4 linked regions of the Tribolium castaneum genome follow. The protein of the gene in region 1 purifies or fractionates together with the protein of each later gene. This does not show direct contact. Links are inferred from orthologs where the notes say so. Each region holds a gene or a part of one and is shown in the gene's direction. Other genes may lie near its edges. The genes, in order: Sym, Cpsf160, orb and CstF64.

Evidence for each region.
Region 2: the proteins of Sym (region 1) and Cpsf160 fractionate together in Homo sapiens (co-fractionation; 5 studies listed by BioGRID and IntAct, with this or other methods). This does not show direct contact. The link is inferred for Tribolium castaneum from reciprocal best matches to the Homo sapiens genes SYMPK and CPSF1.
Region 3: the proteins of Sym (region 1) and orb purify together in Homo sapiens (affinity purification with mass spectrometry; 3 studies listed by BioGRID and IntAct, counting the BioPlex papers as one, with this or other methods). This does not show direct contact. The link is inferred for Tribolium castaneum from reciprocal best matches to the Homo sapiens genes SYMPK and CPEB1.
Region 4: the proteins of Sym (region 1) and CstF64 purify together in Homo sapiens (affinity purification with mass spectrometry; 4 studies listed by BioGRID and IntAct, with this or other methods). This does not show direct contact. The link is inferred for Tribolium castaneum from reciprocal best matches to the Homo sapiens genes SYMPK and CSTF2.

The regions. Positions count from the first base shown.
Region 1 is NC_087398.1:8,153,710-8,161,396, forward strand, and holds the start of Sym (symplekin), read left to right. Parts: upstream 1-3,705; 5' UTR 3,706-3,853; coding exon 3,854-3,892; intron 3,893-3,942; coding exon 3,943-4,139; intron 4,140-4,183; coding exon 4,184-4,573; intron 4,574-4,620; coding exon 4,621-4,907; intron 4,908-4,955; coding exon 4,956-5,416; intron 5,417-5,770; coding exon 5,771-6,886; intron 6,887-6,937; coding exon 6,938-7,135; intron 7,136-7,185; coding exon 7,186-7,344; intron 7,345-7,398; coding exon 7,399-7,677; intron 7,678-7,687. Other genes in the region: GRIP and coiled-coil domain-containing protein 2-like, read right to left, coding at 136-316, 366-3,532. UniProt on the Homo sapiens protein: Scaffold protein that functions as a component of a multimolecular complex involved in histone mRNA 3'-end processing. Specific component of the tight junction (TJ) plaque, but might not be an exclusively junctional component. May have a house-keeping rule.
Region 2 is NC_087394.1:33,812,046-33,819,821, forward strand, and holds the start of Cpsf160 (cleavage and polyadenylation specificity factor subunit 1), read left to right. Parts: upstream 1-3,518; 5' UTR 3,519-3,704; coding exon 3,705-4,145; intron 4,146-4,548; coding exon 4,549-4,865; intron 4,866-4,911; coding exon 4,912-5,162; intron 5,163-5,212; coding exon 5,213-5,394; intron 5,395-5,503; coding exon 5,504-5,797; intron 5,798-5,850; coding exon 5,851-6,129; intron 6,130-6,965; coding exon 6,966-7,104; intron 7,105-7,150; coding exon 7,151-7,323; intron 7,324-7,369; coding exon 7,370-7,776. Other genes in the region: uncharacterized protein LOC103312284, read left to right, coding at 1,515-1,804, 1,851-1,982, 2,033-2,183. UniProt on the Homo sapiens protein: Component of the cleavage and polyadenylation specificity factor (CPSF) complex that plays a key role in pre-mRNA 3'-end formation, recognizing the AAUAAA signal sequence and interacting with poly(A) polymerase and other factors to bring about cleavage and poly(A) addition.
Region 3 is NC_087400.1:9,093,890-9,101,720, reverse strand, and holds the start of orb (cytoplasmic polyadenylation element-binding protein 1), read left to right. Parts: upstream 1-2,912; 5' UTR 2,913-3,051; coding exon 3,052-3,075; intron 3,076-7,831.
Region 4 is NC_087400.1:318,576-325,952, reverse strand, and holds CstF64 (cleavage stimulation factor subunit 2 tau variant), read left to right. Parts: upstream 1-2,691; 5' UTR 2,692-2,894; coding exon 2,895-2,946; intron 2,947-2,996; coding exon 2,997-3,075; intron 3,076-3,120; coding exon 3,121-3,544; intron 3,545-3,593; coding exon 3,594-3,777; intron 3,778-3,833; coding exon 3,834-3,963; intron 3,964-4,011; coding exon 4,012-4,041; intron 4,042-4,096; coding exon 4,097-4,185; intron 4,186-4,234; coding exon 4,235-4,485; 3' UTR 4,486-4,581; downstream 4,582-7,377. Other genes in the region: APC4 (anaphase-promoting complex subunit 4), read right to left, coding at 1-848, 1,304-2,023, 2,070-2,230, 2,292-2,420, 2,466-2,577; WD and tetratricopeptide repeats protein 1, read right to left, coding at 4,749-4,925, 5,137-5,333, 5,383-5,741, 5,797-5,906, 5,953-6,246, 6,297-6,477, 6,524-6,717, 6,764-6,875 and 1 more. UniProt on the Homo sapiens protein: One of the multiple factors required for polyadenylation and 3'-end cleavage of mammalian pre-mRNAs. This subunit is directly involved in the binding to pre-mRNAs.

The DNA.
Region 1 (7,687 bases):
CTTTAAAAATGTAATAATTTTTCAAGATTTTTTAAATCTCTTTTAGTTATCAAGTTATTATATAATTTTCATAGCATGCGTTTATATATTTGTCTCAAAATAACCCAATTATCTGTCATGCAAATCCATTTTTACCTTTAAACTCCTGACAGTCTCGCTGTGTTCTATCATGGTCTGCTGATGCTTGTTAGTTAGTTGGTCGTAGAGCGATTTAAGGTCCTCAACTTCGCTCAACACATCTTCATATTTGGTCAAGACTTCCGATTTTTCGTGAACCAATGCTTCATTTTCCTTCTTCAAATCGTCAACAACAGTTCTACAAACGTGACATCAGTCACAAAAACTAAATTTCCACTCTAACTTACTTGCACTTGTTTAGCTCCGCAGTGAGAGCCTCACACTTAACCCCCAGAGCTGACACTTCTTCCGACAATTTTTCCTCGAGACCAACATCGCGACTCTGGTTCTGTCTCAAGACACTCTGCGCCCGAACCTTGTAATTTTCGTAATCATTTTGCACGATTTTCAGTTCGTCTTCCTTCAGTTTTAGCGCATCTTGGACGTCTCTCAAAGTCTGCTGCAGCCCCAGAATTTGCCCTTTCAAATTTTCTTTCTCGCTTTTCAGGCTTGTGTTAACTTTCTGATGCTCGGCAATGACTTTGGATAACTCAGTCGACAGTTCCTCATTTTCCGAACGCACGGTTTCCAAAATTTGGGTCAAATCGTGAATTTTGTTCTCCTTACTCGACATGACCGATTCCAAGTCAGAAATTTGCTTCTTACAAGCGATAATTTCAGCCTGTGTTGCTCCGACTTCGCTCTTCATCTCTTCCGCTCGTTCTTCTAAAAGCTTGTTCTGTTCGCGGACCGCATTTGTTGTGCTTTTCTGCGACTCGAGCTGGCTTTTCAACTTGTTGATTTCTTCTTGCTTCTTTTCCAATTTCTGGGACAACTCCTTGACACTCCTCTCGTAGTCTTGCATTTCCAGGTTAAGGACGGAGTTTTTCTTGCGTTCGATATTGGAATGTTCAAGGGAATTTTTCGTTTGTTGGTGGTACTCGCTCTCGGCCTTGAGCGCCTGTTCTTTGGCCTCCAAGTCCGAGGTGAGTTTGGCGATTTTGGCCTCGTATTCCTTCTTCAAAACCTTATTCGCTTCGAGTTCCTTTCTAAACGTCGAAACTTTGCCGCTTATTTGCTTCTTCCAGGCTTCAGTCGTGACTTTCTCTTGGTTTAACTCTTCCAATTCTTTCTTGAGTATGGTGATTATCTCCTCGTTTTCGCTCAGTTTTTGCTTATCTTTGGAAACTTCAGCAAGGGTCGAATCCAATCGGGCGGAATATTCCTTTATTTGTTTTTTGTTTTCGTCCAATTCGTCTTGTAATTTATCGCACTGGGCTTGCAAAGTTGCGATGGTTTTCACGTTACTGGCACATTTTTGCTGAATATCGTTCTTCTCGTTTTGCTCCTTCACCAATTCGTTGGACAAGTCACGAACTTTCCCTTTCAGTTTCACGGCCAAGTTTCGTAGTTTTCCGTATCTTTCCTCCCAAGACCCTTCCAGATCTTTCATTCTGTTTGATTCCTCCGTTCTTGAAATTGTCGACGTGGACATGCACTCGCTATCGGCGTAACTTGAATCAAGATTCGAGTTTAACCGTTCTTTCAAATTCTCAATTTCGTTTTTCAAATCACTGATTTCGGAGGTGTTTGAGTTTAAGTCACTCGTGGCTTTAAGTCGCTCGATTTCGTCTTCAAGTTTTTTAATTATTTCCTCCTTTTGGGATATGTTGTCAACGTTTTTGTTGGCTTGTGTCTCATACAATTGCAATTTTTTCATAACTTCTTCGCAGTGAGATTGCAATTTGGAAATAGTCTCTCCTCTTTCTTTCAGTGCTTGATTCATTTCGTTCATTTCGGCCAAAAGTTCGGAATTTTCTCTCTTCAAACCTGACACGACTTCTTCCAGTTCGCTGTTTGTTGAATCCTCAGTTTGGCATTCCACTTGTTTGCAGTTATCACGGGTGGTTTGCAATTTTCGGTTCATTTCCACCAACTGGGCATTTTCTTGAACTAGTTTAAGTATTTCTTCACTGGTTTTATCAGCAATTTGCCTCTCCGTTTCTTTTGAATGTTCAAGTGCTTCTTGAAGACTGTAATTCTTCTGCTTCGCATCATTTAGCTCCCTCAAGTTTAAATCTAGATCCTCCTCCAGCTTGGAGATGACTTTTCGGTATTCAATGCAAATTTTTTCATTTTCTTCGATTCTGTTCTTGATCTCAATTGTGTCTTTCTTGCTTTGGTCGTCAAAAACTTTGATTTCTTCCTGATGTCTTTCCTCCAATTGAGACAAATTCTCAAGCAGACTCTCCTTTTCAACAGTGAGCGTTTCAACAGTTTGCTGGTAGTCAAGTTGAAGTTGTAACAATCTTTGATTTTCTTCAATCAATTTCTTATGTTCTTTGGAAATTCTCTCAAACTCGCCAAGTTCTTTACTTTTCTCGTCGTCGGTTTTATGTGCCTCAAGTTGTTTCAGATATTTTGCATTACTTTCTTTCAAACCTTCAATTTCCTTGTGATATTCAGAGTTCTGTACTTTGATATCACTAATTTCTTGGCACAACTTTTTTGAAGCTACACCCAACTGTTCTTTCCATTCTTCCACTTGATGTGAGTACGTTTTGAGCAAACGCAAAACCTCGTTTTTATTTTCCTTCAAAACCTTCACATTACCGGCCAGTTTTACAACTTTTGAGTGATAAAATTTCAGTCTCCCTTTAAGTTTCTCAACCAACTCCACATTTTCTCTTGTTTCATTTTTGATTTTTTCTAAATCCTCGACCAATTTCAATTTTTCCTGCAACTCTTGGCCTATCGTTAAAATGTTCTTATCCTTCTCCCCCAGATTCGTCTTGAGCACGTCAATTTTCTCCCTCATTGTGTTATTCTCAGCTTGCAACTTCTTAACTTCCTCTAAACTAATACTAAGCATCTTCTGCAACTCTGCAGACTTATCACTTGTGTCATCACTCCGTAACTTTTGATTCGCCTCTTCCAACATCAGCAGCTGATTTTGCTGTTCAAGTCCCAGGTTTTTGCACTCTTCGAGTTGCTTTTCCAGAGACTCCAGATGCGTAATCAGCTGCTCATTTTCATCCGTCAAACGCTTGATTTGCCTTTTATACGAAATATTCTCGCTTTCAAGCCTATCCTTCTCCTCACACAGACGTGCGTCTTGCGTGCAGTTTTGCACTTTATTCACCAAAGCGGCATTTTGGCTCTTCAAGTCTTCAATCGTGGTAACAAACTGCAACTTCTGTTGGGTCAAATTTTCGATAATTGCAGTTGTGGCATCTCCAGATTCCGATTTTAGCCTATTTTTCAGCTCGTTATTTTCCTCCTGGAGCGCGTCCTTCGCCTGTTTGGCCTTCTGGGCGAGAATCAAAAGCCGTTCGCACCGTTTAACCAATTCCTCTTTCGATAAATTCTCCAAAACGATTTTCTTGCCACTTTCGGATGGCGTATTCGATTCCATCTCGATAGTTACTTAATCTATTGTATTGTAATTTCCAAGTAATTAGCAATTACATTGTATTTTAATAATTTTTTATTATTTTGACACATCAATAGTATTTTGACAGCAAAAGTCGCCAACAAAAAGCGGAAAAGTTACTGTTTTTTGGTAACATGTTCACGTCACTTCTGCCATAACCTCAATCTTTGGCTTTCCAAAAATGGATGATTGGCTCTCATTTTCAATTAATTTAACGCTTTAGATAAAACTAGCTTTGTTTTCGAAATTTCGTTGCTTTAGTGGCAACAATTGCGTCATTTTTGGTTGTAAAATCCTCTCGACATGGATTTTACCATGAACGAAGTTTCCGACGAGGATTTAGTAAAAAACCGAGATTTAGTTGATTTCGGTAGTAAAGAGACGCGTTTTAGGTGACCCAATGGATAAATAGCGCTGCAGTGTCCCGCTCTGCTGCAGAAAAGCTTGAATACTTCCACAAATTGCAAGAAGTTTTGATTCGGAAGTCGCCCCATTTGCTGCCAAAGTTTTTACAAAACATGCTTAATTTCACGACTGATAGGAATGGGGACGTGAAAAAAGCGCTAGTGGGTTTTATTGAAGAGTTATGGTAGGTTTTATGCATTTTAATTGGTTACTTAACTTTTGTTTTAGCAAAATGCGCGAGTCTCTTTTACCTAAAGTAATGCTAAACCTTCATATGCTACTATGTGATGAGTCAATAGCGGTGCAAAAGCGCGTAATTCAAGCTTTAATCAGTATTTATCGCAAAACGTTGGCCTGGTTATGCAAGGCTTCTGTAATTACAGAAGAAATGGAAAACGCCTGGAAGCAATTGTCTGCCATAAAATTAGAAATTGCAAATATGATTGATAGTGACAATGACGGCATTAGGACTAGTTCAGTGAAATTTTTAGAATGTGTTGTGTTGTTGCAAACTTATCCCGACCAGGAAGAGAACAAGAAACCGAACGACTTCTCACTCGATGATGTTCCTCTGACGTTAAAATTGGCGCGGAGGCGAAAACTAGAAGAGGAAGCAAAGTATTTATTTTTTTTTAAATTCGCAAATTTCTAATTGAATTTTTTAGTACCTTGTTTGAGTTACTTTTAAAATTTTTTGGCTCTCCCCATATTAGCAGTGCCAACTTGTTAACCTGCCTGGGCGTTGTTACAAACATTGCAAAAAATCGGGCCGAATTTATGTCTCGAGTTGTCTCAGCTATTGAATCACTTTACAATAACCTACCTCCAACTCTAACAACAACTCAAGTGAATTCCGTGCGTAAAAAATTAAAATCCGAACTCGCTGGACTTATCAAACACCCAGCGGCTTACGAATTTGTGGAGAAATTAACCCCAATGCTCACCGATTTAGGTGCGTTTTATTTTTACGCAAAAAAATTTTTTAGGATTTTTTTCTCAGGTTATTCCCAGCAAGACATTCTTAAAATGGTACCGAAACCCGACGAGCGGCGGAAATATTGCAAGAGGACTCTCTCAGTTGAGTCCCTTCAGATCTACAATAAAAGACCTAGACTTGATCCTCAAATTGAATTCGATAACGACACCAATGACAGTGATTCGCAAACACTGCAAGAGTTGAATGAGAACTTTGTGTCTGAAAATTTCACGTTGGAAAGAGCGGTTCAAATGGTTTTCGCTTCTATGAGTAAACTGCCGGCTACAATGTCTCCCGATTTTGCGAAAGAGTATGGCAAATATGTCGATAGTGGAAAAGTTGGCCAATTTGATGTTTTGACAAAACTTATTGCCACGTATTTGACTGAGGCCGGGGTTTCGCCGTCTTCGAAAAGTTTTGCAAAAAAGGTCGAGGAATTTAGACAGCAGGAGAAGGAGGAAGAGGACAAGGAAGAGAAGGAAAAGGTAAGAAAACAATTTTTGCACACAAATAATATAATAATAAGTAAAACAGAAACAGTAATTTGCAATTCAGATTTCACATTTTCAGCTGTATTTAAGAAAAGATAAGATGTAATTCATTGTACCAAATATTTGTCTATTTATTTATTTATTTATTTATGTATTTATCTTTATCTGTTAGCTTATGTTGGTTCGGATGATTTGAGAAGTTATGTATCACGCATCCTGTATTTTTTTTAAGTTATGTTTTGATAACTTATCGTAATTGTGAGGTCAAAGAAATTTTAGTAATTATTCTTAAAAAAAAATATAATGAAGCCTCTATTTGTTTTACAACATGTTTTACACATTTGGTAGCTCCTGAAGAAGGAACGAGCAAAAGTTCCCCGAATCAAGACACTGAAACTGTCCGAAATCACCAAACCTATCGAGAAAGAAACAAAGGAGAAATTGTTAATAGGGTCCATAAACCGACTTTTAACCGCGGACAAAACAGCCGCAAAATGCTTGTACCAAAAACTAATCACCACAATCGCAGCCTGCTTTAGCCCCACTGTCAGACAAACAGTGTTGGCGTTTCTCCTATCAGACTTACGGTCTCACATAGACCTGGCCCTGGCGTGGCTTTTTGAAGAGTACGGAATACTGCAGGGCTTCTCAAGAGTGCCCCCTTTACGCAAAGACACCAAACTGGACAAAAGCTACAACATCTTGCTTTGCACATTTATAAACGCTTGTATGCACGACTCAGCAGTGCTCTGTCGATTGTTTTTGGAAGCGCCTTTAATAACAGACGAGGCTTTGGATAAGCTCCACCAGTTGTGCCGAGACGAGAAGAAATGCACAGCAGCTTTGGGGTTGTTGCACGATTTGACGGTCCGGAAGCCCCCCAAACAGTTGATGTTCCTCAACGCCCTCCTCTCGTACACGACGTACGAATTGAGCGTGGTAAGAGAGTGTGCCATTGGACACGTTTTGGAGTTGCACAAGAAGGTGGAGTTGAGGTTGGTGATTGAGGAGTTTGCACGAATGAATTTGGAGTTTTTGAAGTTGCAAAGGCCGCCGGAGAGTTTGTGTGGGTTTAGTCAAGGGAGGTTGAAGAGCGAGACTTGGGGCGATGATTTTATAAAAGCTTGTCTTATTCCGTATATTTCGCTATTGCCAGCCAATGAGAGTCTTATTCATGACTTGGCTAAGGTTTACGTACAGACGGGGGCCAACATTAAACGGATTATTCTACGTCTGCTTGAAACCCCGATCAGATCAATGGGGATGGACTCACCTGAGCTTCTAAAACTGGTGGAGGAGTGTCCCAAAGGCTCGGAAACTTTGGTCACGCGTGTTATACACGTTTTGACGGACAAGGGCCCCCCGAGTGCACAGTTGGTGCAAAGAGTCAGGGAATTGTATCACACGAGAGTGTCAGATGTTAGGTTTCTTATCCCAGTTTTGAACGGGTTATCAAAGAAAGAAGTAATGAGGTCGAGCGTCGTTTGTACTTTTGACTAATTTGTACAATTGTAGGTAATTGCAGCTTTGCCAAAGCTAATTAAATTGAACCCGGTTGTTGTAAGGGAAGTCTTTAACCGACTTTTAGGCTTACATGGTGACAGTCCAATTACCCCAACTGAACTTTTGGTCGCTCTACATTTAATTGATTCCACGAAAGCCGACTTGAAAACTATAATTAAGGCCACATCTATGTGTCTTCAGGAAAAACAAGTACGAATTATTTTCGCACCGAATATATTTCTCAAATTACCAAATTCCAGGTATTTACTCAAGAAGTATTAGCTGTTGTTTTGCAACAGTTAATGGACCAAACCCCGCTACCAACTCTACTCATGAGGACTGTCATCCAAGCTTTGGGCAGTTATCCCCGACTGTCAGGGTTCGTGATGAATATTTTGCAACGTCTGATCTTAAAACAGGTTCTGTCGTATTACAAAAAAAAAATAATCAATATTTTTTGTTGCTTTTTGAAGGTTTGGAAACAGAAAGTGGTATGGGAGGGATTTATCAAATGTTGTCAAAGAACAAAACCGCAAAGTTTTACTGTTTTGATGCAATTACCACCGCCCCAACTATCTGATGCGTTGTCAATTTGTCCCGAGTTGAGGGAACCGCTCAAAGAGCATTTGCTGAATTTTACTGAAGGGCAAAGGTCGCACATCCCGCCCACAGTCCAGGAAATCATTTTAGGAAGTTACGCACAGCCGCCACCAACGATTGTTCCGCCACCGGTGGTTGTAACTCCAGAAGAGGTAAGTCCTA
Region 2 (7,776 bases), on another chromosome or scaffold:
GTGAATTTAAAAATTTACAAAAAAATAGCTTTTTGGAGGCTTTTGTATTTTTACTTGTCAGAGCAATTCTGAAACCTTCAGCGCATTTTCTGTTGTAAACAACAACGGAATTTATGTAAAAATTTAGTTAATTCAGAAAAGATCAGTTGATAATAATTTAGTAAAAGATACTGAGTATCCACATGTTTGGACAAAAGCAATTATTAATACTTATTGAAAAAAAAAACCTAATAATGAAAATAAAAGTACTTTTTTACTTTATCTCGAAAACTAATTGTCAAACAGAATTATTCAGTGTTTGCTGTTAAATACTTAAATGCTTAAATGTTGTTTTGTGAAAAAAATACGTTACATAAATGTCGCTGGTCTTAAAAAATAATTAACTAAAACAATTCTAAACCTGCTGTCTAGAAGTCGAATTAAAATTTATTCATCGAGGATTCAACTAATTTAAATTTTTATTCGGAAATAAAATTACCGTTGGGGGCGCCACTGAGCTAGGTCGAAAACAGTAACCATAAATGGCGGGAAAATGTTTATTCGGATATTTTGAGCGTTGTCCGAATTTTGGGGCTTCACAATTATTACATTGCCTATGCGGAATGATTATTGCATCTTTGATGCAAGAAACTTATGTTGACAAATGAGAAATGACGAGGAAAACACGAATAACGAATGATTGTTTGGTTCACTTTCTTTATTGGAAAATTATTACAAAGACATTGAAAAGCCTACCTTTTGGCATAATTTACGTTTAAATGTATTAGCAGTTGTTAATCTTTATTGTAGTTTTGTAGATTTACCGCAGCATTTCATGATTTTTTCAGTGGAAAATTCTAACGTAAAATTCATAACACTTCACTAATTTATTGGTTTCTTGAGCCAAAGTTTGTGTTCGCTGTGATCCATTACTTATAATCTTTAATTAGACAACTGTTTGATAACACTTTGTAATCAAAATTTAAATATTTTTCACTTTTTATCCACTTTCAAGTTCCAACAATAAACACTTTATACCACGAAAAACTACAGAACCAAAGTCAAAGCTAGTATTTACCACCACGTACGTTTAAAGTGATTCTCTCTAATGTAAGTAATTAACACTAAACACGCAAAATTGTTGAACAATTCATTAAATGTCAGTTAAATGCGGCATTACGAAAATTTCTTTACTGTTTTCGACATAGTTCAAAAGTCATCACCAGAGGGCGTCTAGTTAATTTTATTTCCGAATTGTCATTTACACTGCATTTGCTTGTAATGTTACACAGAAGCGTCGTTAGTTTAATCGGTAATTTAATGCGCGATTAACTGATCACGTGACCAAATTGAACAAATTGATTGGTCCATTCGCGTTGTTATAACAACGAATAAATTTTAACAAAGCTTGCTATAAACCGGCACTTACTTACGTGAGATTAAAATTTAAACATTATATAAATTAAATAAAGTGATTGTGAATAAAATAGCTAGAATCCTAAGTGGATTGGCATTTAGTTAATAAGCTTCCTTAGATGGTTTTGGACCGTAAAGTGTTCCAAGGCGTTTGGCACCGAAAACAAATCGAAGAAATACGCAATGCCAACATTGACGGTTTGGAAACTTGTCCATTCTGCGATTTCTGTATGATCCCTGACGAAGGAGACAAGATTTTTAAGTGTGCCAACATTGAATGCATGGCTGAAACATGCCGCCTTTGTCGCCATAGGTCCCACGTGCCTAAAAGATGCAACGAAATCGAATACGACGAAGATGTTAAAATGCGAACTTTCATCGAAAATAAAATGACTGAGGCACTTCTCAGGTAATTGCCTTTTTTTTGCAAAGTTTCATGCAAATTATTATTGCAGGAAGTGTTGGAAATGCTCTAAACAATTTTACAAAGAATCAGGCTGTAATAAAATGACTTGCGTCTGTGGTGCCATGATGTGCTATGTTTGTGGGGAAGCTGTGACGGATTATAGGCACTTTGGAGCTGGACGGTATATTTTTTGTTTGGTTTTTGTGGTTGTTTTTGACATTACTTGTGCAGGTGCCCTTTGCATACTGAAAATTTGCAACAGTTTCACCTAACTAGGATACTAGAAGGTGCCCAATCGGCCAAAAATGAGTTGGGAATTACTGGCAATCCGAATCTGCTTAAATTTGATCCAACAAGGGGCATCGAGAATCAAGTGGCTTAGATGCATTGTTTTAAACTTTTGGTTTTTGTCTATCATGCTGTGGCCTTATTCTTCTAATAATAGCTGTGATCAGAATGTTTTCCTGCTCAAAATAATGTGTTTGTAGTTAGGTTTTTCTCAGGCAATAGTTGTTCTAACTGTTTATAGAATTACAAGTTTCATACGATTTATAAATTTTATAGAATATTGATCATTGTTTTCTTACGATTTGTATTAGCTGTTACATTATAAAGATTGTATGATTATTGCTCATGTATTTTTAATAAATTGTTTCTATGTTTATGGCTTCTTTGTGTTAATTAAATTATACTTGTTTTTAAAAATTATTGTGGAAAACTAAATAAATGCCTCGTATTGAAAATTTTATTAATTTAAATTAAAATGCGACAATTATTTAAAATTCAAAGTTTTAAAAATTTAAAATTCGTATCGAAATCACAGGAATGCAAGAAGAGCTTTAACTTTAAAGAATTAAAAAAAATGTGTTAAAATATTTGCAAAAGACGGTCACTACTTAGGGCCCCCGGTGGCCCAGTGGTATAAGCGCCACTTTCGGCGGGGGAGGTCGGGTGTTCGAACCCGGATCACGGCAACAATTTTTCTATGAAAAAAATTGTAGAAAAGGTAAGTGAAACAACACGCAAATAAAAATAAAAGATTGTGAAAACACATAGACGTAAACGTAAAGAGGAGACATTTAAAACCGGCAGAAATAAGAAAATAAGGCGAAAAAATAAGAAAATAATGCAGCATAAATACATAAAGGCTCCAAATTTAAACGTAAGACCCCCAACCTGATAAAGGTAGAAAAACCTTTTGTCAACTAGAGTTCCCTTATGGACGTGAACGTAAAAGTGCAACATAACTTCAAACGTAAACCTTAAATCTTTAGATGTAATGAAATAGAGAAATAGAGATAACGCAGCATCTGGTCAAAATTTGTAATATGTATTATTTGTATATAACATGATCGCAACAAAGTCATTACGTTATTTTATGTTTTTGCATTTTTGTAATCTTAATCCAAAATGTATTTAAAAATTTTGCAATTTATTATTTTAAAATAATTATTATTTAAAATATACACAAATACTTTCAAATCTGTTGCCAACAGACTTAGTATTTCTGGATCAGCCGGTATTATGGAAACCAAAATTGTTATAAAGTTCATAATTTCGAAAATTTTAAGTAATTGTTTAAAGACAATAAATATTAATGTAAACTTTACGTTAAAGGTAGTGTTTTTATTATATTTTTTGTGTTTTTTACAAAAAATATTACGTTTTTAATATAAATTAATTGTTAAGTTTACGTTTTCGCAACCACAGGTTTCTACAGTATCAGACGTTTTCCGCATACACACCAATTTTGTGTTTTTAGGTTATGGTTCAAATAAAGTTCACAAATCAAAATAAACTGAATGAACTCCAGCCCCCAAATATGCTAAACCGACAAAACTATTCATAATTCCGCAACTTAAACAATTTCCCGTGTGTTCTTGTTGCAAATTAAATTATTCCAATGTTTTCTATTTGTAAACAAACGCACCCTGCCACGGGGGTGGAACACGCAATTTCGTGCCATTTTTTCAGCAAGTCTGAGAAAAGTTTAGTTACGTCAGGGGCCAACGTAATCAAAGTGTTTCGCCTGATCCCAGACATTGACACAAAAACCAGAATTGATAAATTTAATGGTATGCAAAAACGTTGCATTTTCACCAGTTTACACTGCTTTTCCACATTTTTAGAAACAAACCCTCCGAAGTCTAAGCTAGAATGTGTGGCTCAATACACTTTGTTTGGAAATATCATGTCCATGCAAAGCGTAAATCTTGCAAACTCGCCCAGAGACGCTCTGTTATTAGCGTTCAAAGACGCAAAATTATCAGTGGTGGAATATGACCCCGAAACGCACGATTTGAAGACTCTGAGCTTGCACTACTTTGAGGAAGATGACATGAAGGTGCTTAAACTAAGCACTGTTAACTAATTCATTGCAATACTTACTTACATTTACAATGAGAAGCAGTACTTAATTCAGTTACTTGATATTGAAATTAAGGTTTAGATCAATTACTCGTCTCGGTTCAATTTCAATCAATTTCTCTTTTAAAGTAAATAAATCTAAAGTAGCATTTAAAAATAATATTACGTAAATTATTCTCACAAACAAAATTCTGACACTCATCAAACAAAAAAATATTTTAAGAAATCAAAAACTAATTCAGATCCTCTATCAGCTAAATCAGAAGTCTGCTCTCAATTAAAATGAGTTTTTTTGGAATTCTTTATTATTAAATTTTTGTTTGGCTATCAGATCTTAATTTATTGTTAATTTGTTTTTTTTTTTATTATGTATTTTTTAGGACGGTTGGACCCACCATTACCATGTGCCTATGGTGCGAGCTGATCCTGAAAACCGCTGCGCTGTTATGACCGTTTTCGGCCGAAAATTGGTAGTTCTTCCTTTCAGGCGTGAAAACGCAATTGATGACACCGATGCTGATATTAAGCCAATGATTGGTGGAGCTTACGGTTCAAAAGCGCCAATCTTGGCCTCATATATGATTGTTTTAAAGGACTTTATCGATAAAGTTGACAACATAATAGACATCCAGTTCTTGCACGGTTATTACGAACCAACGCTCCTGATTTTATTCGAGCCTTTGAAAACTTTTGCTGGGTATTTGTTACATTAACCCTCACATAAGTATTAATTGTTGCTTTAGGCGCGTCGCTGTGCGAACTGATACGTGTGCCATGGCTGCAATTTCCCTCAACTTGCAGCAAAAAGTGCACCCGATTATTTGGAGTGTTGCAAATTTGCCGTTTGATTGTGTAAAAGCCGTCCCTATTAAAAAACCGCTCGGTGGCACGTTGATTTTTGCAGTAAATGCACTAATTTATCTAAATCAAAGTATTCCACCGTATGGGGTTTCCTTGAACAGTATTGCCGAAAATTCAACAAATTTTCCATTAAGTATGAAATTTTTATTTCATAAACATCGTTTTATCTGTTATTTCTTCTAGAACCGCAGGACGATTTATGTATAAGTCTAGATTGTGCACAAGCCACGTTTTTGGAAGACGATACAATTGTCTTGTCTCTGAAAGGGGGCGAACTTTACGTCCTAACTTTGCTGGCAGACAATATGCGATATGTTAGGAGTTTTCATTTTGAGAAAGCTGCAGCCAGTGTTCTCACAACATGTGTGAGTATAATATTTTGAAATAACACGTAATTATAAGACTTAGTTAAAAAAATTCAGTTTAAATTATGATTTTTTTACTCGAAACAAAAATACAAAAATGCGATTTTAGATCTCTGTATGTGAGAACAACTTTTTGTTCCTCGGCTCGCGCCTCGGAAACTCCCTTCTTTTGCGCTTCACTGAAAAATGCAACGAAGTCATAACTCTGGATGAAACGATCGAACCGAGCGCCAAACGCCTGAAAGCTAGCAATAGTACAAGTGAAAATGAGGACGATAAAGTCCTGGACACGTTAAACGATTGTATGGCTAGTGATGTGTTAGATATTCGCGATCCGGAAGAACTGGAAGTGTACGGAAATCAAAAGCAAGCCAGTCTTCAAATATCAAGCTACGTCTTTGAAGTAATAATAACACACAAAAAATAATTCTATAACATTATTAATTGTTTTATTAGGTCTGTGATAGTTTACTCAACATTGGCCCTTGTGGCAATATCTCGCTAGGAGAACCGGCTTTTCTGAGCGAGGAATTTTCCGAAAACCTTGATTTAGATTTGGAACTTGTTACAACAGCAGGGTATGGGAAAAACGGGGCGCTTTGTGTGTTACAGAAGTCTGTAAGGCCGCAAATTGTGACCACTTTTACGCTACCTGGGTGCTCCAATATGTGGACTGTGCATGCCGGGGAGGACAAACATGCGTTTCTCATTTTGAGTCAAGAGGACGGCACTATGGTAAGGCAATAACCAGGAAATTCAGTCGTATTTTTATAATTATTTAAGCATTTTTTGCCTTTTCTTGTTTTCAGTTTTGTTTATTAATTATTATACAAGTGGTAAGGCAATAACCAGAAAATTCATTTCTTTCTTTTTTTCTTTTCTTGTTTTCAGTTTTTGTTTGTTATACAGGTTGGTCTTTTTAAAGTATATTTTTACCATATGTCAAAAATTCAGTAATTACACAAAATACTTTGTATTTTTCTCTATGCCTGTGAATTTTTTCCTTATAATTTATTGTTCCTAATTTTTAACTACTGTGTCATCTGTTATTTTGTGACAAAAATCCATAAAAATATGACCCAAAAAATTATTAGTTAAGTGAACATTAAAAATTCAAATAAACGTAAGAAGATTAATAAAGAGGATTTTTTTTAAGAAAACGCAAAAGCTTATGTTTGGAAAATTTAATTACAGAGCCCTTTGCTATAAACGTTTGTTCTTTAATTCCTATTTTTAATTTCAGACGCTTCATTTATTTTTTTTTATTTTTTAAAATATCGAATTTATTTGACCCCAAATTTCTATGCATGAATTTTTAGCAGTTAAATGAGACTAGTTTTTTATAATCTAACTGAAAAAAATATATTAAATTTTCTCTTTTGAAATGAATTAAATTTATCAGTCATCTTACATTCGATAAAATATTTTTCACGCAATAAAAGCCCTTGTCTTACAAGTTTCCACGAAAGACAGTTTTAGGAAATAGCCTATATTTCTTTTTATTTTATTTTTATTATAAGTATTGTTTTTTTTTCTTAATAATTGTGTTATAATTATAAATAAATTCGTAGATTTTGCAAACGGGTGACGAAATCAACGAAATCGATAATACGGGCTTTGCCACTCACATCCCGACCGTTTACGCTGGTAATTTAGGAAACTTGAAGTACATTGTGCAGGTTACAAGCAGCGCTGTGCGACTTTTACAAGGCAAGACACCCCCACTTTATAAATCATTGATAAAAAAAATTCTTAGGGATAAACCAATTGCAACACATTCCCCTGGAATTGGGGTCCCCCATAGTCCACGTGACAAGTGTCGACCCCTACATTTCCCTACTAACAACAGACGGTCAAGTGATCACACTCATGCTCCGGGAAGCCCGAGGGGTCGCTAAACTAGTCATAAGCAAATCAACTCTGTCAAACGTAACTATTTTATATGATTTTTCAAAAAGTGAAGCAAAATTTGCAGTCGCCCCCCGTCACCACCATATGCATGTACCGCGACGTTTCGGGCCTTTTCACGTCGAAAATCCCCGAGGATTTCACGCACATCCCCGAGCATTTCATAAACGAATCCGAGACGAAAATGGAAGTGGAAAACGAGGACGATCTGCTCTATGGAGACGACAGCGATTTTAAAATGCCAACTCTGAACCCACCACAGCCCAAACCGAAAGTTTACTACAACTGGTGGAAAAAATATTTGTTGGACGTCCGGCCTTCGTATTGGCTTTTCGTCGTACGCGAAAATTCCAATTTGGAGATTTACTCAATCCCCGATTTTAAATTGTGTTATTACATCACGAATTTGTGCTTCGGTCATAAAGTCCTGGTCGATAATTTGGAATCGGTGACGATTTCAGCCTCGACACCCAT
Region 3 (7,831 bases), on another chromosome or scaffold:
ACAAACTAAATTTTGAGAGTTCTATTAAATATGCGAACAGAATTTTCTACAACTCTGTTTTGTTTTTGGTTTTGCGAAGAATAAAATTCTAGCTTATGATGTTTTGTTTTTAAATAAGTAAGCAATTAAACCTCCAAAATCTATAGTTTGTTTAAATATAAAATTGCTGTCGTTTTTTCCAAAGCACTCTTTGCTTTTTTTGTAAAGAACGACCAATTACGCCGATTGTTTTTAAATTAACATTCTTTCTTTTAATAGAAAAAATGTGTTGAAATAGACATCTGATTTCAGTCTAATATTCTCAGAAAAAAATATCGTACAAGTTTTTATTTTTTCTAAGTACAAGTGTTGAATAGAGAACTGAAAAATATACTGAACATCAAAAACAGTTGAGGATTGCCAATTCAAAAAATTGAGGATGACAGTTCAAAAACATATGAAGCCGCTAACAAACTTTTTTATGTAAAGATGGCGATTTAAAACAAAAAATCGACCATTTTTTGCAACAGCCTTAGGTACATATCTATAGGTAAGTACAAAATTTTATGATCTCTCTGTATAATTGAGACATATATTTGACAAAAAAAGTATTTTACCATTTCAACTTTTTAAAATTTACAGTAACATTTAATAGGTACTATCATTTTATCTATAAATACCCATATTTTTTTTTGATTTATCGATAAGTATCAATTTTCGATATTTTTATATATCGATGTTTATCGATAATTTTAAAGTATCGATTATCGTTATTTAAATCTTAATATCGTCCACCCCCAGTTAGCGTCACATTTTGTGAACAAAAACAACAAAAATAGTTCTTTACTTACATATCTTTAAAATCAATGCACTTTCAAATGTCGTGAAATACATAATTAACACCAAAAATTTGGAAAAAACGTTTCAAAATATTTCGCAGTCATAACTACATTATAAAAAGTCGTTTTATGTTTTTTTAAGATGCGAGAATCGTTCAGATTTTCAAAAAATGAATTCGTTTTAAATCCTGATTTACGGTTTTAAACTCTGATTAGGAGGTGTTTAACGAGGCATAAGTGCTTTAGTTTCGTTATTTTTTCAGAGTGAAATTCCATCAGAGTAAAATATAAGAGCCAAGCCTAGCCAATTGGCCGCCCGTGTACAGGTCCCAAATATTGCGCCCCTAATTAAAATAGTAGTTAAAAATTACTAAGTTAAATAAATGAAAGCAACTGTTTACTTTTAAAATACTTGAAATAGTATATTTATATAAAAATAAAACTATTCGTAACAAGAATAATTTTAAATTTTGTGCATGTACACCAGCTGTTGGGTATTTACATATCTAATATTTACACAATTTACTCAATAAATTCACCTTACTTTACTCTAGGCAGATTCTTTTTCTAAAATATAGTTTATCTAGTCCATTGGGTATTTCTTTTTCCACTGCAGGAAAGCAGGAAGTTAGGAAAATTATTAAATCGATTTTGGTACATCGTCTTAGATAATTTTTGATAGTTTTTCTAAAAACGTCCTCTCTCCACAAGCAGGAAGTGTTAATATCAAGAGAACTTTAAGAGCAACAGTAATAATAATAATACATAGTGGAAAATGCTGATACTGATTGAGATCTGATATACTAAATAAAAAACGTGAATTTTAAAATAACTTTTAGAATCTGCTACTAGTTTGTTCTTATTTCCAAATTGCTTTTTTTCTCGGCTTCACAATTTTGTCGATTAACTGAATGTTTAAAGTACGTTTTTACTTAAATTTGTCAAAGGTCTAAACAAGTTGTTATGTTTATGGTTGGACATTTTACCAAAACTTACTTTAACTTAAGAAATCGAATGGTAGACCAAAAAACTATTGGAGATACAAATTTGTAACTACAGTTGAATGAGCCACGAAAAAAACTACACATGGGTCTTTTTTTCTGTGTTCAATTAATTTTTCTGATTTTGTTAGCGATTTAAAACTTTTGTATTCGCACACATTTATTCCTTCAATGTGTTGAGAACAAATATGGCGATTAGTGATAATTAATATTCATTTTACTCCATTTTTCGTCATAAATAAATTTACAAAACGAAAAGTTCTGACATAAATTTGACATAAATTTAACTATAGGAGAACGAAGCTGAAGCCGTTTAAAAGCGTTCGAAAAAAATTAATTCTGAGAAAAATCAGAGATTTTGCTCTAAATTCTTTAAAGGAAAAGATTGAACTTTTTTTTTCCTGTTACCAAATAGTCCATTGTTCATAGTATATTATTATTGCTTTGTTGTATTAATTACGTAATAAACAGTTTAACAAAAAAGTGAACTATCTCCATTCTATGAAAACCTCTGTTTTTTTTTAGTTCACATAATGGAGATTATTCTGATTATTGAAACTTTATAAATTTTGTGCACCCAATGAAAAGAAGGTCTTCTATATTCATTAATCCCTCTGATTGCATTCAGGCCCTTAATCTCATGAACAAGAACGCATTCGTGAAATAAATTGTGTCACAAGAAATAATTAATGTTGAATGTTTCTTAGAAAAAAAAACTTTCAATGGTCAAATATGTTTACAACTGTAAAAAAGACGCTGGACAGCTGGACCATTTCTCTATAATCATTTTTATTTTTTCCTTTTATTTTAATTTTGATTTTGCGAAAGGTGGCCGGTCGGGGGCGGCCCCTTTAAGAAAATGATCTTTTCATTTAATTGCGTTTTGTTGTGTAAACTGAGCTTTGTTATAAAAACTGCACTCCAAATATTTCAAATTCAAGGAATTGTTTTGTTACGGGGTGCGAAGTGAGTCAAGTCAATCTGATTGAATTTTTTGTGCGAGCACGTGCACAATGTAAACATTACCCTTTCTCTTTACAACGGACCAATCGAAGCATACGAAACTCTCTTTAATCGCTTCAATTCCAGGAAACTCACTCTGCTGTTGACTTACATCGCTAAATTAGCAGTTGTCTCGAAGTGATGTGAAGTGTTAAGGGTGCTCTGGTGGGTGATAAGGTGGTCGATCTGCGGTGTATTTGCAACACGTGGTTGTTTGCTATACCGGGATAATGCCGGTGCTCGACAGGATGGAGGTAAAATTATGCAAATTAATCAAAATCAAACCGGATTTTAGCGACAAAAAAGTGTTATCTCTCTACAAAGAAAAAGTCTTTAGTTTTTGTGCAAGTGGGACACAAAAGCAACCGTTACGCTGGATGAACGTCCACTTATAATACGAGATGCTCATTAGCAATTACATCTAATTATTTAATTAATTATTAATGTTGTGTAACAAGACCTAACTATTTTCCGGACTTTTATGACAAATTATAGGGCTGGAAATTGTCAAATTCCTTACTTTCACATAAGTTTGCTCACTAATTTTATAAGCATGTAATTGTTAACACAGGGTGTTTTGCACAAAATTTCGGGGTCAGTATCTGCGATTATTAGTGTTATTGCTGGAGTAATTTAATTAAATCACATTTCTAATTAAACATAAAATATAAATAAAAAGAAGGAAACGCATCCGAGTATAAAAACGTATTTTTAGCGCTCACTTCTTGCTTTAAAAGTTAATTAAAACAGGGCAATAGTTTTGTTGAATAATAACTTGTTAGTGTTAATTGGACGTATGGTTAAAGTACGGTCACTTTTAACGTTTTTTTTACAGCTTGTGCAGTCTTTTGTCTTAAATTTTGTGACCACAGAAAACAGAATTTTTTTCAACCCCTTTAAAAGGGTCTTCCGAGTGTTTTTTCACTCAAGATACGTGTAGTTGTAAATAAAAACAGTAAAGCATAAAATTTTGCATAAAATTGCCGTTTTTTAGTATTACTAAAATTAATTGAGTTAGGGTGGTTAGAAGATAGAAAAGTACGGTGACTATACAGGGTGACCCAGGGGGGAGTAATCAATCTATAACTTTTTTGCTATTTAAAATATTACCATGTCGTTTTTATTATCCCATAGATTGATTTAAAGTACATAAATTAAAAATATTTTTATTATACCCATGGCGTTGTATACAGGCTGGTGAACCAAAGTTACATTTTTTTAAATGGAACACCCTAAATATTTTTGCGTAGATTCTACGCAAAAAATCATGTAAACTTTTGTGGGTCTATTTCTTGTCGTTTCGGAATTATTCAACTTTTCGTTATAAAAAAGACCAATTTTTGAAAAATCACTGTCGCCTAGGAATATTTTCCAATAAATTTCTAACAGAAAAACTCAGAAAATACTGTAGTTTAAGCAATAGTCGACTTTTACTTCACGCAGGACGCAGGTAATTTACAGTGTATGCCAAAACGCAAAAAATTGAATAACTCATTTTTTTAATGGAACACCATATATTTCTTTACACGTATCGATAGCATTTTTTATAAACTTTCTAACAATATCCGGTTTGTATAGCAAATTAGAAATATTTTTAGTGTTCTGAATTTTTTTTTATTTATTTTGTTATTCTTGATGAGTAAAATTCACTTATGTATCAATTAATAATTAAATTGCTAATGTAATTAGGCACATTAGTACATATAAAAAGATTACCATTTGACTTATCGAATTTTAATATAACAAATTTTCTTGTAATATTTTTTTTTGAAAAGTCAAAAAAATGCTTTAAATTTGCTATGCAAACCCTGTATCATTAGAAAGCATATGCAAAATGCTATCGATACGTGTAATATACAGGGTGCTCAAAAACTGGCGCACCAACTCAGTGGTACGTTATTGAGAAGCAAGTGCAGATTACGGAAAAAATGTTGAAAAAATTCCTAAAGTCATATTTTAAAAAATCTGGAGCTGCAAACTATTGTGTTAATTTCTTTAGTTTTCATTATTTTTTTTATGTTTTTATGTTTTACACTAAGTAATCGTTCCCTAACACAACGATGAATAACTATTTTTAAATTTCACATCAGACTTTAACAGTTTTTTTAATTTAAAAAAATTAAAATTTGTTCAAAAAATCACAATGTGTAGATGTGCCAACACTGGGAATTGTTTCCTCGGAAACCGTTTCAAAAATGATTTATTTTTATTATTGATCCAATTCTACTGCGATCATGACTGTTAGACAACGTTGCCACATATCATTTATCTAAAATCCGTTATTTATCAATAACTTTAATACAAATAATTTTTTTACTATTTTTACCTTTATATGTAACCAGTTCTCTACCACACACCATTGATTTGGTGCGCCAGTTTTTGAGCACGCTGTAGATGGTGTTCCATTTAAGAAAATGAGTTATTCAACTTTTTTTGCGTTTTGGCACACCCTGTACATTATCTGCGTGTATCAAGTAAAAGTTTACTATTTGCTAAAACTGCAAGGTATTCTGAGTTTTTTTTTGCAAACTTAACGGAAAATTTTCATAGGCAACTACGTAATGATTTTTCAAAAATTGGTCTTTTTTATAACGAAAAGTTGAATAATTCCGAAACGAAAAGACAATAATTTCTACAACGATACATTATTTTTTCTGTAGAATCAAATTATGCAAAAATATATAGGGTGTTCTATTTAAAAAATATAACTTTGGTCCCCTGTATACAACACCGATCTATCGCATAATAAAAACGGCATAGCAATATTTTAAATAGCACAAAACTTATAGACCGATTACACACCCCTGTGTCACCTCCGTATTTGAAAATAACAAAAAGAGGACACAGAAACTGCAAGAAAAAAAAGGGTCTGGAATTAAATTTTTCTAAATAACAAATGTAACGTATTTTTTGTTAATCAATAACTCTTTATTTTAAAGTAACAAATCGTAAAATCTAAACCAGACTTTAGGTGATAAAATAAAAATCTCGAACAAATGCTTGTCCAAATGTAACTACACAGTAAAGTAGCACATCATACAAATTAAATTTTAAAAGATTATTCTGGTGAGAAATTACTTTCAATAATGTTTTATTAGACAACAAATAAACATAAAACTCTTGAACTGTCCTACTATAAAATTATTTTTGCATTATTATATTAACTTCGGTTACATTTTCACAATTTTGGAATATTTTTTACACTTCTATTGGTAAAAAAAAATCTGACAATCTATCTGTTAAGCCACTTTCTCTTTCAATCTTCTTAATTTTATCTCGAAACATGTACATTATGAAATGCCTAAACCAAAAATAGCTTTTATTAATTTCAATTTCGAAAAAACCTTTTATTTATTAAAAAATGATACCGATGTGCGATGAAATTGTAAAATTTGTGAAAGAGAGGGCATTTTATTAATTCAAAAATAAATACCGAACACGGACAAAGACCTTGAAAAAGAGGACACGTCCGGAAAAAATAGGACGTTTGGTTACCCCTACCTAAAAATAAAGTAATGATATTTACAACTTCAAAAAATACAGAATTAAATTGAGAAAATTTTATCTATACTTCCTCATATCGTCCTTCTAGGTGAGGTTGGAAACTTCATCTTTTTGCAATAGATTCTTCAATCAATGTTAATAACAAAAGAAAATTGGGAAAATTACAGTTTTCTTCTAACGGGTTTATTTGTGTAGTGAAATTTTCTAGATGCGATAATTTATTTATTGTTAAGTTACTGTTCTTGAAGAGAAAATCGCGGCATTTTTTTCCCTTTTATTTTTGAATTCATTGTTTTATGGTACGTTATCTTGATTTTATTCGACGTGGTAATTGTTTATACAGAATGTCCTAAAAAAAGTACGACCTCGATAAAAAATTTTTTTTAATTGCGTGCTCTTTTTTTTAGTGCTCATTAGGATGCCTTTTTAGCTTCTTAACATGTCCCCAAAGTTTTTTTATAATTTATTCTAGGATTACTGTTAAAAAAAAATTAAATAATAATAAATCGGTTTTACATTTTCAGTTTCAAAAATTAAAAAAATATAAGTGTGTTTTTTGATAATATTATAACTAAACTAGGTACATAACTGTTGGACAAGGTCTAACAGACTTAGTACCGGTTTATAGAATAGAGGCGTCATTAATTTATTACGCAATTAAATGCTTGATTAACAAATCACGTGACCAAATTAAACCAATTTCATTGGTCCATTCGCATTGTTCATTGTAAATTTAATGAAGTTTTTTATAAACCGGCCCTTATTAATTAAATTTAATGGATCTGAATTACTACAGGTGTTCACAGTTTACTTCCAAACTTTTTAAATTTTAGAGTTTTTTTTTTCATTCAATGCAGAATTAGAAAACGAAAATTTTTTCTTATTTACAACCCTAACGTAAATCCTAATACATTTGGAGTTATTTTCTGAAAACTCGTTTTGTCAACTATTTTAATAACAAATTTAATGATCGATGTAAAAGTAAACAGGGGTTACCGTGTGAAATAAACAAAATAAAAAGCTGTAAAGTTAAAAAAATTTGGAAGCAAATCGTGAACACCTGTAGATATTCAGAACAATCAAACTTAATTTATAATGGCCGGTTTATAGAAAGCTTCATTAAATTTTAATTCGTTGTTAAAAGTTAACAACGCGAATATCATCGAATCAAGTTGTCTCGATTTGGTCACGTGATCAGTTAGTCACGGATTTAATTGCGAATTAAATTAATGGCGCTTATATGAACCTGTCTTAAGTCTCTTATTTGTTCAACACGTACCTAGTAATATTATTATAATTATCAAAAAAGCTGTTTTTGTATTTTTTATTAATTTTTTAAACTAAAGATGTAAAACAATTTTTTGAATTTAATTTTTTTTAACTTTAAACCCTAAACTAATCTGATTTTTTTAGGGATAGAATAAGAAGCTAAGAGGGTATCCTAATGAGTTAAAAATAATAATAGCATGTCAAAAAATACTTTATTTGGGACACACTGTATAATCT
Region 4 (7,377 bases), on another chromosome or scaffold:
CGATCTGTCTCCCCCCCATCCACAAACTTGTCCAAAACGCCACCTATCGGTATCTGACTTAAAACTGTAGCTTTAGAAACGGTGTTTTCTTGCAATAAAACCGACAATACTGCACTCGAATATAGTTTAATATCGATCACGTGATAATTATCCTCGGAATTGTCACGGGGGAAGTACAGACGCGCACACTTTATGAAACAATTGCCATCGTCTAGATACACCTGCAGGCCTAGAACGGTCTCAGGCGGCTGCAAGTAACAAAAAAGAATCGATTCTTTGTTTAAGTTGACTTGGGACGTCCGTAACGAATCGCCGCAAAATTGGAAACAATTGAAGTCATTCAAATGACTGAACTGCCTACTAATTTGCTCTCTAGGTGTCGCGAAAATCGCATCGACGCTTTGCTTCAAATGCTTGTACTGTTGTATCAGCGACATCTCTTTGAAGTGCCTCAAAATGGAACTATTTTTTTCGATGCATTGGTTCTGGGCCAAAAAATCAGTCCATTCGTTCCCGGACATGTCTGGTTGGATCGTCAAATTGCCATCGCTTAAATATTGCCCCAACCGCTCCATAATGAACCCCTTTTGTTTGTTATTCCGACTGATGTGGTCAAAGTTTTGCAAAAATTCGGTGATGTAAGCCAGGTCTTGCTGAGTCATTTTGGGGATTTCGTTCGGTATTGGCTCATCCAGAACGTGCATTATTGCCGTGTAGAGCCAGCGGAAGAAGGCCTTGTAATTGATGATGGAGTGATTGATGATTTGCTGCATTTCGCTGCCTTTGATCAAGAAGGCGCCGTTCGAGGAAATGGCGCCGGTAATGGCGGCCGCGTCCAAACCCAAAACCTACAATCACCCAATCACCATTTTTTACACTAATAACTTCTTTTCAATTGAAACGCGTCCTAAACGTGGGAGCGAAAAGCCGAAAAAGGCGTTTTAAAGCCGTCAGGGGTTTCCCCGAATATTTTGGACTTTTTTCACGTAGTATTTGCTCGATTTTAAACTAAATATTTATTTATTTTGCCAGATAGTATTTTGTTCGTTTAAAAAATCAGACACTATATTCGTTTCAAAGCAAACCTGATTGATATTTGTTTGTTTCACTCAATGTAGCTTGTTGCGTAAAATTTCGTCTAAAATACGCCTGTTTTTTAACTATTTCTCAGACTTTGAAATTATCGAACTAAATGTGATTTTTCCATTTTTGTGCATTTTTGATGGTTTTTCTTGCCAAGTTCACACAAAATTAAATTTTAATTTTTTTGTTGAGTTGGCAGCCACCACACACTTGTACCAACCTTATAGCGGTGTTCCAGTCTTGCCATCCCCCTCATTTCGGCCAAGTGATAGGTAACATTCTGCCCAAACTTCATCACATACTTCAGCATCAACTTCTGAATGTTGGAATAACTCATCTCAATCGTCTGCCCGAACTTCTCCAACCCTTTCTTCGTTAAATCGTGTATGAGAAAGGTCTTCATCTCATCCGAGCAAATTCCAAACGTCAGCAAATCCAAAAAATCAGCCGTGACGCCCCCTTCTGGCACCTTGCTCGCATATTTCGACAACTTGTTGTCCATCTCCAGCAAAATGCTCTCCCAGGACTCGGTGATGGTGGTAATAGTGTTGGAGAGATAGGTCACCAGTGAGGTCAATTTTATGTGTTTGAGGGCCAAAGCGAACAGTTCGTTTGTGTGCGTTTTGAAAATTTCCGAATCGAAACAAATCAATTTAACGTTGTTTTCGTTGTCTCGCACTGTGAAAAACATGCGGTTCAGGTCCTCGTTCAAATGCATGTTCTGGATGGAGCAAAGACAGTTGAGAGTTTGCTTCAAGTCAAGGGAAGCGCACGGGAAACAACCGAAAACTCGCACGTGCACGGTGCCCTCACTTGTCCCAATCAGGAGCAAATTAAAGTCGGTTTGCTCTTGCAAAATGTTGGTTTTCTGACCATCGTCGTTGTTGGGGGAATCGAACTGTTGTAGCACCGGTTCGGGCAAAAAATTACCCGATAAGTCCTACAACTGGGAAATTAAACGAGCACTAACATTCGGGTTTTTTTACAATGTGTTTCATGTACTGATTCTGTTTACTGTCTTCGTCAACTGAAGGCAGTTTCCCTTTAACAGTCCGGTCTTGCAACCAATTGAGACATGAAACTTCGCCCTTGATGTCAATAGTGTGCAACACCGACTTATTCTCGACCTTCACAAGCAGTATTTGGCCTGAAATTGCACAAAACAATGGATTTAAATTATTTCCAATACTTTTTTTACAATATTTTACCAGAACTGTACGCAATTGCTATGATTTTGCCGTCAGGCCTCCAGGCAATACTTGTGACCTTTAACCCATCCTTGGGGGCACTGAGACTCCACGCTTTGGTCCAAGTGAGTCGATGAAGAGCCACCTCTCCTACAAAGACACCCAAAAATGCCGGTTACTGCAAATGGGGGTTACCTTTGATATTGGCAAGAGCGACAAGGTCCATACGGTCGCTCCACACCATTTGAACAATCTCACTGGCCACATTGCGCTCTTCGAGCTGTTTAATCGCCTGAACTGTGCTCATTTTCCAACAATTAGTAACAAAAAACAATTTTCAAATTGTAAGGTTACGTTTAATTCTGTCATGGGTACCAACTGTGCGTCTGGACCCGATTTGCTTTATTTAGCCAAATGTGCACAAACAGGCCTAGTCAGGCGTTACGATTCACTTTAGGGTTGTAACCACAATAGATAAACCAACATTTTTGTTATTGTTGGCTTTAAAATGCATAATTTTGTACTTTTTTAAAAGGTAGAGGGTTGGTAACGCTGACCGTTTGTTGAAATTGGTGTCCCAGGTGTCTTGATTACTTCGTTCCAAGTTGGAATTAAACAATCACCATGGATAATTTAGAAGCAAATATCATGGACAAGTCAATGCGTTCGGTCTTTGGTACAAATTATTTAAATTTTAAGTGATAATTATAACCCCATTGCTTCCAGTGGGCAACATCCCCTACGAAGCCACCGAAGAGAAGCTCAAAGACATTTTCGGCGAAGTAGGCCAGGTCCTGTCATTCAAGTACGTTGCCCTGCCCCCTGAAGCCCCCTAACGCCTGAATTTTAGGTTGGTTTTCGACCGCGAGACAGGCAAGCCCAAAGGCTACGGCTTCTGCGAGTACCGCGACCAGGAGACGGCGCTCAGCGCCATGCGCAACCTCAACGGGTACGAGATCGGGGGGCGCAACCTCCGGGTCGACAACGCCTGTACCGAGAAATCGCGCATGGAGATGCAAAACTTGCTGAACCAGCCCCCGGTCGAGAACCCCTACGGCGAGCCGATTCAGGCCGAGAAGGCCCCCGAGGCCATCAGCAAAGCCGTGGCCTCGTTGCCCCCCGAGCAGATGTTCGAGTTGATGAAGCAGATGAAGCTCTGCATTCAGAACAACCCCACTGAGGCCAGGCAGATGCTGCTGCAGAACCCCCAGTTGGCGTACGCTCTGCTGCAGGCGCAGGTGGTTATGAGGATTATTGACCCGCATACGGCGGCTGTGAGTTGGGGGTTTGGGGGCGTATTTATATTTTATTGGGGGGTTTTAGACAATGTTGCATCCGCAAAATCCCGTTCCTTCGTCTTTGACGCCCAAGGAAAAGACTAATCCAGGCCCCATTCCGATTAACAGTAATTATGTCTCGAATCCCACGCCTGTGCAGCCCCCAAGACAGGACTTTCAGCCGGTGCCAGCCCCCGCGATTCATAATAATTCCAATCCGGTCTTCACAGGTGATTTTTTTTATCACAATTGATTATAAATAATAATAATGTTTGCGTTATTGCAGGTCAAGACGTTGATCTAAGATCACTGGACCCCCGAGGGGCTGATCCTCGCCTCAGCCGCCTGGGCGACCAGGACATGCGCACTTTGCCCGGACAACTCCCCAACCCCCTTCCGCCGCCACTTGTCGAAAAGTAAGTAAAATAATTCAACCTTGAGCCCTTTTACTCAAATTTAAACAGTTTCACTAAGCAGGATCAGAAATTGGAAAGGTAAATAACCATTTACAATTGATTAGAAATACAATTTACTGATACTTTTTCTTAGCTTTAATAGGGACCCACGTGGAGGTCCGGCCAACTTCCCATCTGATCCGAGACAACAACAGCGAGCTGACCCAAGACAGAAAAATATGCGTATGTGTGAAGTACGTAATTGAATTGGTTGTTGAAAGTCTGATTTTAGCCCCTCAGCAAAACGCGATGCCTCCGCAGCCGGTCAGAGCCCCGCAGGGGCCCCCCAGTACCCCCCAAGTTCGCCAAGCTGCCAATGTTGCTTCAAGTATAGGTACAGCTGGGGCCTCAGACCAGGAAAAGGCGGCCCTGATTATGCAAGTCCTGCAATTGTCAGATGAGCAGATTGCAATGCTGCCACCTGAACAGCGTAATAGTATTCTAGTTTTGAAGGAACAAATCGCCAAAAGTGCACACCGTTGATTAATTAAGTCATTTCCCCAAATCAGTTTAATTTTTACAGTTTACATGATAATTAAAAAATCTTTAAAATTATTAACATAAACACTATTTACAGTATTGTGTATATATCATTTAAAAATCAACAACAAAAACGCACCCTCTAGAAAGTACAAAATAAATGAGCGATTCCTTCGGTTGTTTACGATTAAATTGTAAACAAGAGGTGGATTTATTCGTTTGCAACTTTCAGTTACAAATCTGGTTGTAATGGTTTTGTTAAAAAATTAGCTAGTTCGGCACGTTGGTACTTCTTGAATGGACGATCCGTCTAAAGCGCTTCCTTCGATCTGGTAACCCATGCTCGCCAACATTGATTCGAATGGGTCCATTGACATGCGATGCTGATTTGTTTCGACTACAGTGGAGATGCATTTGACGATTCGGTTGTTCACTTTGCCGTCCTAAATAAACGACAACGGAAACTCCAACATTAATAAAATTAATAGAAAAAAGTTACTATATTTCGGAGAAAAATTTCCGATCAAGTGACTAAGTTATCCGTTTTCGAAAAATCATACTAGCCTTTTTTTTGGAACCTTTATCGAATTAAAAAAAAGCCGTAATGTAGAGTGGCCAACTTAATTTCAAAGTGAGACCAGCAATTGTGCTTACCTCAGGCCGAGGCGACCATATTTTAACGGCCGTATCAATCCCGCTGGACGCTATAACACAGGCACTAGGGTGTGGTTGAATGCAATTAACTATCGAGTTATCTCCAAAGAGAGCCCTAACCACATTCATACTCTTCTTATCCCAGATAAAAATGATCCCTTCGTCCGATCCTGCACAAATATAATTATCACAATCACCTGAAAGCCGCCGTGAAAAAACCAACACTCTACAACCACCACAAACAACCTAAAAAATTCGCCTCCTTGATATCAGTCGTGGTATTACAATGCCCTATGTAAATCTTCTCAAAATCGAACGAATCCAAACGTAACTTTTTCTCATCATCTTCCACCTTCTTCACTCCCGTCTCCTCAAACTTGACGCTGTTTTTGAGCGCTTGCAACTCCTCAACGAGGAATTTCACCTGCGAGGAGGTTTCACATTCGGGGTAAAGTTTTGTAAAGTGTTTCAACCAAGCGTTGGCTTCGTCTTCCCACTTCATGGCAATTAGGCATTTGATTAATCCAATGTAAGCCTGTTTATGGTCCGGCCAATGCTGAATCACGTGTAAATAATCACGTGCTGCCGCATACAAATCGCCCATCCTAACAAGAAAAAAAAAATTAACAAGCCTTTTTTTTTGGCTATTTGTCTCAATACCACTTGCGTTGGTACGCCTGTAGCGCCCGCCTCATGTAAAAGCAGGCACAGTCCGTGTTTTTCTCAAACAAGTCGGCGCTGACCCCGTTAAGTTCAGCCAACAGTACGTTCTAAAAAAAATTGCATTTTCCTAGTAGTGACTGGGGGGATAATTACCGGTTGGCAACAATTCCGGTAGGGTTGATGGGGCCGTTTAGGTAAGTTTTGGGGGATTTTGAGTTCGTTAATGTGTCGGCTATTATTTACATCAAATAAATAAATCTGTTCACCCCCGATATTTACCAACATTTCTGAACCGGCGGAATTGAACGCGATATAAGTGACTGATAGTTTGATGCTCATAATGCCGGCATTTTCGCGTGCCAGGTGCCCGGGGGCGTAGTATTGCACACAGTCGCTGTTTTGGGGCTGCGGGGACGTCCTCTTCGACGGATTAAACGACAAATTCGCCTGAAAACCCAAAAAATGCAAGTTTTTCCCCAACATTTTACCTATTTTACCATTGATACTTTGATCATCCTCCTGTCATACAAGCGCACGAAGCAGTCGTTGGCGCCTATTGCGATATAGTGCGATTTTGTGGGATTCACAGCAATGCATTTGATTTCCGATTTGAAGCTTAGGTCGACTAAGACCTTGCTTTGCGTGGGACACTCGTGGGGTTCCCGCAAGTCGTATTGCCTGCAAGTGAGTTAAGGTGTTTGGTTGGGCAAAACAGTTGCCTTACACAACTAGGCCATCTTCGCCCGCTGACCAGAACAGAGTAGGCTGGTCGGGGGCCGTGGCCAGGCGTTTGACCCGGCCGATGTGGCACGCGCAGTCCAGCAAGGGGGCGCTCTTGTCGAGGGCCCCCGACACGCTCTGGACCACCACTCGGCAATCCCCGGCCGCCGTCGCGATGACATTTTCGTCGGCTAAAAACTGCAAAAACGCTCAGATTCGGTGCCAAAATGATCGGGTTGTTTACTTTAACGGAAAAGATATTGCCAATGTGTGGGGTCGGGATCACGTTTATTTGCTTGTGTCTGAAGGGGTCCCAGAGGATGACGTTGGTGTCGTCGGAGCCGGACGCCAGGTGCCTGCGAGTGAACGGTCAGTTGCTGCAAGGGGCTAAAGGCACTTACAGTCCGTTGGGGCTCCATTCCAGGCAGTTGACGCAGCCCTGGTGCCCCTCAAGCTCCGCCTCGAGTCCTAACCTCTGGATGAAATTGGCGCTGAATTGGGTGCGCTGTTTGAGGACTTTTGCTGCGGTGCTGTTCAGTTCCCGGCATTGCATCAACTTTAACACGTTACGGTTGCTTTTCCATCCTTTTATTTTGTTTTCCATCTGATTGAAGAGTCGCTATCAGGATCAATGTTTGCTGCAAGGTCAACAGGACTCACCTTTGCTTTAGCAAATCGGGCATCATAAATACAAATTTTTCGAAAATTTCATCATAAAATTACGGCTTTACGTGACGATTGAGGCCTTAATTGCTTTTTTGAAAGATGTCAAAAGATACACTCATTTGTTTTTGTTTATGGAGGTCATGGACAGCGTGAAGCACAACCGCACAAAACGAAAATCCCCAGATTTTACAA